Linked DNA regions of Saccharomyces cerevisiae S288C. The gene in region 1 interacts genetically with each later gene. Each region holds a gene or a part of one and is shown on either strand. Other genes may lie near its edges. The genes, in order: ASG1 and YPR015C.

Region 1 (5,694 bases):
TCTTTATTGTTTAATAATACATATGGGTTCGACGACGCTGAATTTCAACTCAGAGAGGAATTGTTCACGTTTGCGTTTGTTGTTACGTCCATGGATGTCGTAGTAGAAATTTGGCCAGTGAGTTGAGTTCTTTGTAATTGCGGGGCGCTTTCACCTAAAATCGAGCTCGTAGCTTGTAAAGACTTTTTCACCTTCTGTGCTTTTATCCCCCTCGGGTCAATTGATGAAGATTCAGGAGCAGGTATTTCTCCAAATTTGGACATGTGCAATTGCAGCTGTCTTGTCACAGAGGCGCCTCGTCTAATCTTACTCAATTTACCAGCATTCCACTTGTTCAAAAAATCACGCCTGACTTCATCGCTAATTTTCCAATTCATCCCTTTACCTTGTTGACCAGCTCTTTTGGGCACCTTCTCGAAGGCTTTATTTAGGGACAGATTATGCCTCACGGAGTTCTGCCACGCCATTTGAGAAAACCTGTAAAATGCGTAGTTGTCAGAGATAAATTTGTAAATATCCGCTAATGAAATACTACCTTCGGGTGTTGAAAGAATGGCTTGGGTGATCATCGATGCATACGACTGTGGTGGTTTGATATATCTGTTTTCATCCAGCGACAAGTCTGATGGATTTTCTATATGGGGTACATTACCGTTAGTGACAGCATTGTTGCTACTGGACGTGTATGTATTCGGTCTAATTCCTCCTCTGGTGTAATTTTCATCTTCTTCATCTTCTTCCATCATAATCGTGTCTCCATGTGGATCCCCTATTGGGTTAACATCTGATGATGACGATAATGGGGTGTGTAGGTGGTCCAGCTGTTGTAATCGAGCCTCTTCCTGTAACCTTTGCTCTCTTAAATAGGTAGAACCTTCGATAATGTTACGTAGCAACGGGTTGTTGTTACCATTCGTACCATAAGTAGATAGTAATTTGGGCATGAGGTGATTCAGGCAATAATCCGATATAATAGTTTCTTGTTCCGGCAATATAAAGATCATTTGCACACCACCTATGTCTATGATACAACCAGACTGTAGCACCGTAGGAGGAGAGTCTGGACCTGTGGGAATCCTTCTAAAATTGACCTTAGCACCATTTCTACCGAATATCTGTAATTCCCATGATCCGCTCTCCAGGTTGAATCTGATTGCAGCATGCTTCCTAGACACAATTTTGGCAGGACCAAGATCAATGTCTATATTCTTCTTCACGACTGTACCGGGCACAGCATTCAAGTTCAAGCTGTCTGTGTTCCTACCAATGGTAACTTCTAATTTTTGTACATAATACGTCCAATCACATCCGGCAATTTTAGCATAAGCGTTGACCTCTCTGGCAATACTCAAGCTATTGGAATAGTCACTTGACACAGCCACAGGATCGCTTGACGAGCTAAGAACACATGTCACCGCATTAACAAGCCCTTGGCGATCCTGGGCTGTATACGAACTATACTTACCACTAAATTTTTGTTCCCTACTGGTAACAGACATTTATTATTACTGTGTCTCTCCAAGCCTTTCTTTGCTAATTGAACGCACAATTTACACACTATTATTTAAACCTTCAATCTTCTATAGAGCCGGTATTCATCTAAACCTCTTACCATCCTGTTCTCTCTATACCGTTTCTGATTTGTTTATGTTTTTCCATTTTTTTGTTTACCTCATCCATGGATCATAACCTATTTCGTAACTTTTTTAGACCTATCATATATGCTATATTTCCGTTCAAGCCCTTAAAAAACATTTTATAAGACCTACGCTCTTCAAGCCCTAGTGATTTCTTTTTTTCTTTTTTTTTTTTTTGGTAATTTTTTTTTCAAAAGTGACTACAGTAATGAGGTTTGTCTACCTGGACATGACCTTCTATTGTTGAGTAGTTCCTTGCATTGAAGACAACCAGTAATCGAATTTTTTATAAAGCGGTTAGAAAATCTCGAAGAGGTTAACATATAGAAAAAAAGCCTCTTTTTATTTGAGTTCCATAAGGTAAGAGACAAAGAAAAAGGAGCGCATATTATAATTGATAAGGGCGTTATGCCAGAACAAGCGCAACAAGGGGAACAGTCTGTCAAGAGAAGAAGGGTCACTAGAGCCTGTGATGAATGCAGAAAGAAAAAAGTTAAATGTGATGGTCAGCAACCATGTATCCATTGTACTGTGTACTCTTATGAATGTACTTATAAGAAGCCTACGAAGAGAACACAGAACTCCGGAAACTCCGGAGTTCTAACACTGGGCAATGTTACTACTGGTCCATCATCAAGTACTGTGGTGGCAGCCGCCGCTTCCAATCCAAATAAACTCCTCTCAAACATTAAAACAGAAAGGGCTATTTTACCGGGTGCTTCTACAATACCTGCAAGTAACAATCCATCTAAACCAAGAAAGTATAAGACTAAGAGCACAAGGTTACAATCGAAGATTGACAGGTACAAGCAAATATTTGATGAGGTCTTCCCGCAGTTACCTGATATAGACAATCTGGATATTCCTGTGTTCTTGCAGATCTTTCACAATTTTAAGAGGGACTCGCAGTCGTTTTTAGATGACACTGTGAAAGAATATACTTTAATCGTAAATGACAGTTCTTCTCCGATCCAACCAGTACTTTCTTCAAATTCAAAAAACTCCACTCCAGACGAATTTTTACCTAACATGAAAAGTGACTCGAATAGCGCCTCCAGCAACAGGGAACAAGACAGTGTAGATACCTACTCCAATATCCCCGTTGGTAGAGAAATAAAAATAATTCTACCACCAAAAGCGATCGCTTTACAATTCGTGAAAAGTACTTGGGAACATTGCTGTGTTCTTCTCCGATTTTATCACAGACCATCGTTCATTAGACAATTGGATGAGTTGTATGAGACAGACCCAAACAATTATACGTCTAAGCAAATGCAATTTTTACCATTGTGCTACGCTGCAATCGCTGTGGGAGCATTATTCTCGAAATCCATTGTCTCAAATGACTCGTCAAGGGAAAAGTTTCTACAGGATGAAGGTTACAAGTACTTCATTGCAGCAAGGAAACTAATCGACATTACAAATGCCCGTGACTTGAATTCCATACAAGCAATTTTAATGCTGATTATATTCTTACAATGTTCCGCACGTTTATCAACGTGTTACACTTATATCGGTGTCGCCATGAGAAGTGCTTTGAGAGCAGGCTTTCATAGGAAATTGAGCCCCAATTCTGGTTTTAGTCCAATAGAAATTGAGATGAGGAAACGCCTTTTTTATACAATCTATAAACTGGACGTTTATATCAATGCAATGCTGGGCCTACCGAGATCTATTTCCCCCGACGATTTTGACCAAACTCTCCCCCTGGATTTATCAGATGAGAATATCACTGAGGTGGCGTACCTACCTGAGAACCAACACTCCGTTTTATCAAGTACGGGGATTTCGAATGAACATACAAAACTATTTTTGATTTTAAATGAGATCATTTCTGAACTATATCCGATAAAAAAAACTAGTAATATAATTTCTCATGAGACAGTTACTAGCTTGGAATTAAAGTTGAGAAATTGGTTGGATTCGTTGCCCAAAGAACTGATACCTAACGCAGAAAATATTGATCCTGAATATGAAAGGGCAAATCGTTTATTACATTTGTCTTTTTTGCACGTTCAGATAATATTATACAGGCCTTTTATTCATTATTTATCACGCAACATGAATGCTGAAAATGTAGATCCCTTATGTTACCGGAGAGCCCGGAACTCTATTGCCGTGGCTCGAACGGTTATTAAGTTAGCAAAAGAGATGGTTAGTAATAATTTATTAACTGGTTCATACTGGTATGCCTGTTATACAATTTTTTACTCCGTTGCAGGTCTCTTATTTTACATCCATGAGGCGCAATTGCCTGATAAGGATAGTGCTAGAGAATATTATGATATTTTGAAAGACGCAGAAACTGGTAGAAGCGTTCTTATTCAACTCAAGGATTCTAGTATGGCCGCTAGCAGGACTTATAATTTATTGAACCAAATTTTTGAAAAACTAAACTCAAAAACTATCCAGCTTACTGCGTTACATTCATCACCATCCAACGAAAGTGCCTTTTTAGTGACTAATAATTCCTCCGCTTTGAAACCTCATTTAGGAGATTCATTGCAACCACCCGTATTCTTTTCTTCCCAGGATACGAAGAATAGCTTTTCATTAGCTAAGAGTGAAGAAAGCACCAATGATTACGCTATGGCTAATTACCTAAATAATACACCTATTTCCGAAAATCCTTTAAATGAAGCACAACAGCAAGATCAAGTATCCCAAGGAACGACTAACATGTCTAATGAAAGAGATCCGAACAATTTCTTATCTATTGATATCAGACTTGATAATAATGGCCAATCAAATATTCTTGATGCCACAGATGACGTCTTTATCAGGAATGACGGCGACATCCCTACTAACAGTGCATTCGATTTTAGCAGCAGTAAGAGCAATGCATCAAATAACTCCAACCCAGATACCATTAACAACAACTACAATAATGTTAGTGGCAAAAACAATAATAACAATAATATTACTAACAATAGTAATAATAATCACAACAACAACAACAACGACAACAACAACAACAATAATAATAATAATAATAATAATAATAACAATAACAATAGTGGTAATAGTAGTAATAATAATAACAATAATAACAATAATAAAAATAATAATGACTTCGGCATTAAGATTGATAACAATTCACCGTCTTATGAAGGGTTTCCCCAGTTACAAATACCGCTTTCACAAGACAATTTGAACATAGAAGATAAAGAGGAGATGTCACCTAATATTGAAATTAAAAACGAACAAAATATGACTGACTCAAACGATATTCTTGGAGTATTCGATCAGTTAGATGCTCAGCTATTTGGGAAATACCTACCTTTAAATTACCCCTCTGAATGAAAACGTTATCTTTGATTTATATTCTATAATATCGTGGCTACAGCACTTGCTGAACATAAGCTTAAAACGTTTATGTGTGTATTTATATATGATAATAATAATAATAATAATAATAATAATAATAATAATAATAATAATAATAATAATAATGGTGATAAACTGCAATAACAAAAGAAAATAGTACCAATCCTGGATCTAGTTTTCCCTAAAATCCAATTTTTACTTATCAGCCTCACTTCCTAAACTACCTCACCTTCAAAAGCTCGATAATTAAAAGAAAACATGAATAATATAGTAAACAATGATAATAGTTTCTCTATAAGATTATCTAATTTTCGAACAGTATTAGCTATATGCGAAATATCTTCATCATTGGTACCTTATCATAAACCAAGGCCTGCTTTATATTTATTTGAACGAAAAAATTAACTTATATTCTTGGCTTTCCATTCCTGTTTATTTTCACAGCAAATGAATCAGCCAAATGAGTTTTAAATGAAACATTGGACGGTGTTCTAGATAAGCTCCTGTTCAGTATGACTGAGACCTTTTTGTCATACAACTGTGGAGCAGACTCAAAGGAAAAAGTTTGATCTGTGCGAGTGGTTTCAATCGAATCAGAACGTCCATGTGGAATTCCCATCCCCATTTTAGAGGAGATATTTGGCACATTTGTGTCCTTTGTGAAAAAACTATCAAGATTATCTAGCTCTGCCCACATGTGACTTAACGAAGCATCCTTTTCTTCCGCAAC
Region 2 (3,266 bases), on another chromosome or scaffold:
ATCTGTTGTAATGATTACGTTGCTTTAGTGCATCCAGATATCGACAGAGAAACTGAAGAATTGATAAGTGATGTACTAGGCGTTGAGGTCTTCCGTCAAACCATATCAGGTAATATCTTAGTTGGGTCATATTGTTCTTTAAGTAATCAAGGTGGGTTAGTGCATCCACAAACAAGTGTCCAAGATCAAGAAGAATTGTCCTCCTTATTACAAGTTCCTTTGGTGGCTGGTACCGTTAACCGTGGTAGTTCAGTTGTCGGTGCCGGTATGGTTGTGAACGATTACTTGGCAGTTACAGGTCTGGATACTACAGCCCCAGAATTGAGTGTTATTGAAAGTATTTTCCGCTTGCAAGATGCCCAACCAGAATCCATTTCAGGTAACCTACGTGATACTTTGATTGAAACCTACTCATAGATGTCAGGTACTCCTGAGGGGATTCCCCTCCTTCCTCAAGTCTGTTTACAGTTGTATGCGAAAGAGTCCCCATGTTGCAATAATCTTCTTACGTATCATTTGTGGTATTTTTTTTGGTATAACAAATATTTTTTCTTAGGTTTCTATGCATTTTAATTTTAGTTGTATGTATATTATGTACTCTTTTATTTTTTTTTTTTTTCTTATACCTATGGGTGACTATTCATTGCAGTTTAAGTAGGCGTCTTAATTGTAACATGTAGTCACTTTGTTCGAAGCATATGTAACGGGTTTCTAAGCAAATTCTTTGCATAATATGGATTTTCCGTCCGCTTCTCCGACTATTCTGACAACTTGCTCAGTTCCAAGTATCTGTTAGACAATATAGAACTTCTCCAAGAAAAATTGCACCGCACGTAGACCATTTGAAGGCTTTTTTGTCTAGCTGCTAGGACATACTATTGTCTCCACCAGAACCCGGAGAGTAGTATCTCTTGGCAAAGATTAATAAAATCGAACAAAGCTAATAGAACACCGGGGGTTGTGCGGTAAGATTTTCACAAGCGGTACAGAAGTGAGCCGTAAAATTATATATATATATATATATATATGGTGTACAACAAGTCAGCCGTCCATTTATGTGCTATCAAGCGAACTACGTTTCATCTCTTCAACTTGGTAGTTCTTGAGATATAAACACCCTGATCCATCGTACTCACTGAAATAGCAACAACTCCCTGAGTTCCATTGCCACGCATACCCACTCTCATATCCAGAAACAGCTAGTATTTCGATGTTTTTCCGCTCGAAGAAACTTCCGTAGTATTGTTGAGGTGTTGGGGGCATCGTTCCTTTTCGTACGCCAAAAATTCTTCCTCTATTGTTTCCAGAAAATCGTTGCAAAAAAATAAGTCCGCCACGCTGTTTTCTGTGACAACTCTATCTGGAGCCTTCACTAATGGTTTAAAAGGCACGATTTCCACAGAAAGTTTCGCAGCACTTGTTTGTACAAGGAGCGTAAAGCACCGGAAATCTTTTCCCACTGAAACCCTAAATATGAACGGCATTTGGTTGCCATGAGATACAGTCCCAAGAATTCTTTATATTATATAAGCGCTAGTTGTTGTCGCTCTTTTGACCTCATTGGTAGATATTTCAAATTACAAAATTATAATTGTTTTCTTGGTCCAACTTTTTTCTTCTTTTTGGAGGGCATTGCAAGGATCCAATACGATAAGCAAACGTCTTCATTGACCCGTTTCTAACTTTTAATATACATAAATTTTCATCTTCAACACTAATTAAATGTGGAGAACAAAAACGCTAGAATCTATGCTTTGTAGCCCAATGAAATGTTCATCGTCTAACATAGGGGGATCCTATGCGCAATCTTCAAAGGAAGTCTCGAACACGACCAAAAGGGAAGTGCATCTTCCACCTTGTTCGTCGATTATGCACGCTCCACTTACTCCTGAAATAAACCAGGCCGCACTACCACCTCCCGCTTACCATTACGCACCTTCTTCTCTGCATCAGACAGAGGATCCCGTATGGAGATCAAGTCCCAACTCTATTATCTTTTCGCCGGTTATAGCAACACCGCAACCTTTCCCTTTAACGTTCGTTGAACGTCAATCTTGTTGCCCTATTTATTCAACGGCAGCTTCCTCTTATACTGCCCAATCTGTACCTCCATCAATGCAGCATTTTCAGGAGGAAAACCACAGAGCGGTGAGCAACGAGCAGTACTCCCTCCCGAATGTGCATATAGGGCAAAATCCTGGGACGCTATTATCCCAAACACAAACCGACTTAGATCTTATACAAAAGCAACTGCGCGCTGTGGTAAAGCTACGGAAACAATGTCCTATCTGTGGGAAGGTTTGTTCGAGACCTTCAACACTGAGGACTCATTACTTAATACATACGGGAGACACACCTTTCAAATGTACTTGGGAGCATTGCAACAAATCTTTCAATGTCAAGAGTAACATGTTAAGGCATTTAAGAACCCATCAAAAGAAAATAGCAAAGAAAAAACATCAGTGAAAGCATTGTTTAGAATATTTTGTTTTCAGTGTGATTTTGATGTAGGTGTGACACTTTTTACCAAGTAAAATGAGTATAGATATGTATTAGTTCCATATAATATATTACATGTAGCCAACAATCAATTTTTACTGACTTCCGATTTTTGAATAGTGAGAGGATTTTTGTTCGAATTATAATTTCTACAAGAAATTTGTTTGCGAATGCATCAGCATTTGTAATACGGTTCTATACTGCCGCACGATACATTTTATTCTGTCTAGTTCGTAAGACAAAGGACCTTTTCATTTAGTACAACGTTGCCGACACGGATGTCTTGATGAATCTCTGTACCAGGAATTCAATTACCTGACTAGTATGCAGTTCACTATCAAAAAAAAAAAAAAGGTTAAATTGGTATAATCATGGTTAAAGAACAAACAGCCTCTTTCCTCTACAAAAGTATGTTAAATGTAGGTAGTTCAAATTGCGGTCACGTATATGCCAACGTTGTTAATATATAATGATCCATTGGAACAATGAAGTTTACAGAAGCTCAAAATTAATGCAAGAATAATTACGTCAAGGGAGTCATAACAAACTAAGAAAACAAAGGAATTTGACTAAGTTTGAGCGCAATGATATATCCATGCTTGATATTCTGATTCATACATATCGTTTCTGTCATTTCAATGGAAGTCTTTATTTATCAATTACCACAACCTTTAGTATTGTGCTTATTATTGGTCAAAAGGAGTTCATGCGCTAGTGATAGTCAACCCATGAAGTGATTAGTGGAACATAGAAGGGGATAAATTTCC

The links.
Region 2: mutations in ASG1 (region 1) and YPR015C together harm fitness more than expected from each alone (negative genetic interaction), as found in Saccharomyces cerevisiae (one large-scale study listed by BioGRID).

What each region holds. Positions count from the first base shown.
Region 1 is NC_001141.2:100,737-106,430, forward strand, and holds ASG1 (Asg1p), read left to right. Parts: upstream 1-2,045; coding exon 2,046-4,940; downstream 4,941-5,694. Other genes in the region: forkhead family transcription factor FKH1, read right to left, coding at 45-1,499; TAO3 (Tao3p), read right to left, coding at 5,371-5,694. UniProt on the Saccharomyces cerevisiae protein: Probable transcription factor involved in the stress response.
Region 2 is NC_001148.4:589,483-592,748, reverse strand, and holds YPR015C (uncharacterized protein), read left to right. Parts: upstream 1-1,722; coding exon 1,723-2,466; downstream 2,467-3,266. Other genes in the region: TIF6 (translation initiation factor 6), read left to right, coding at 1-417.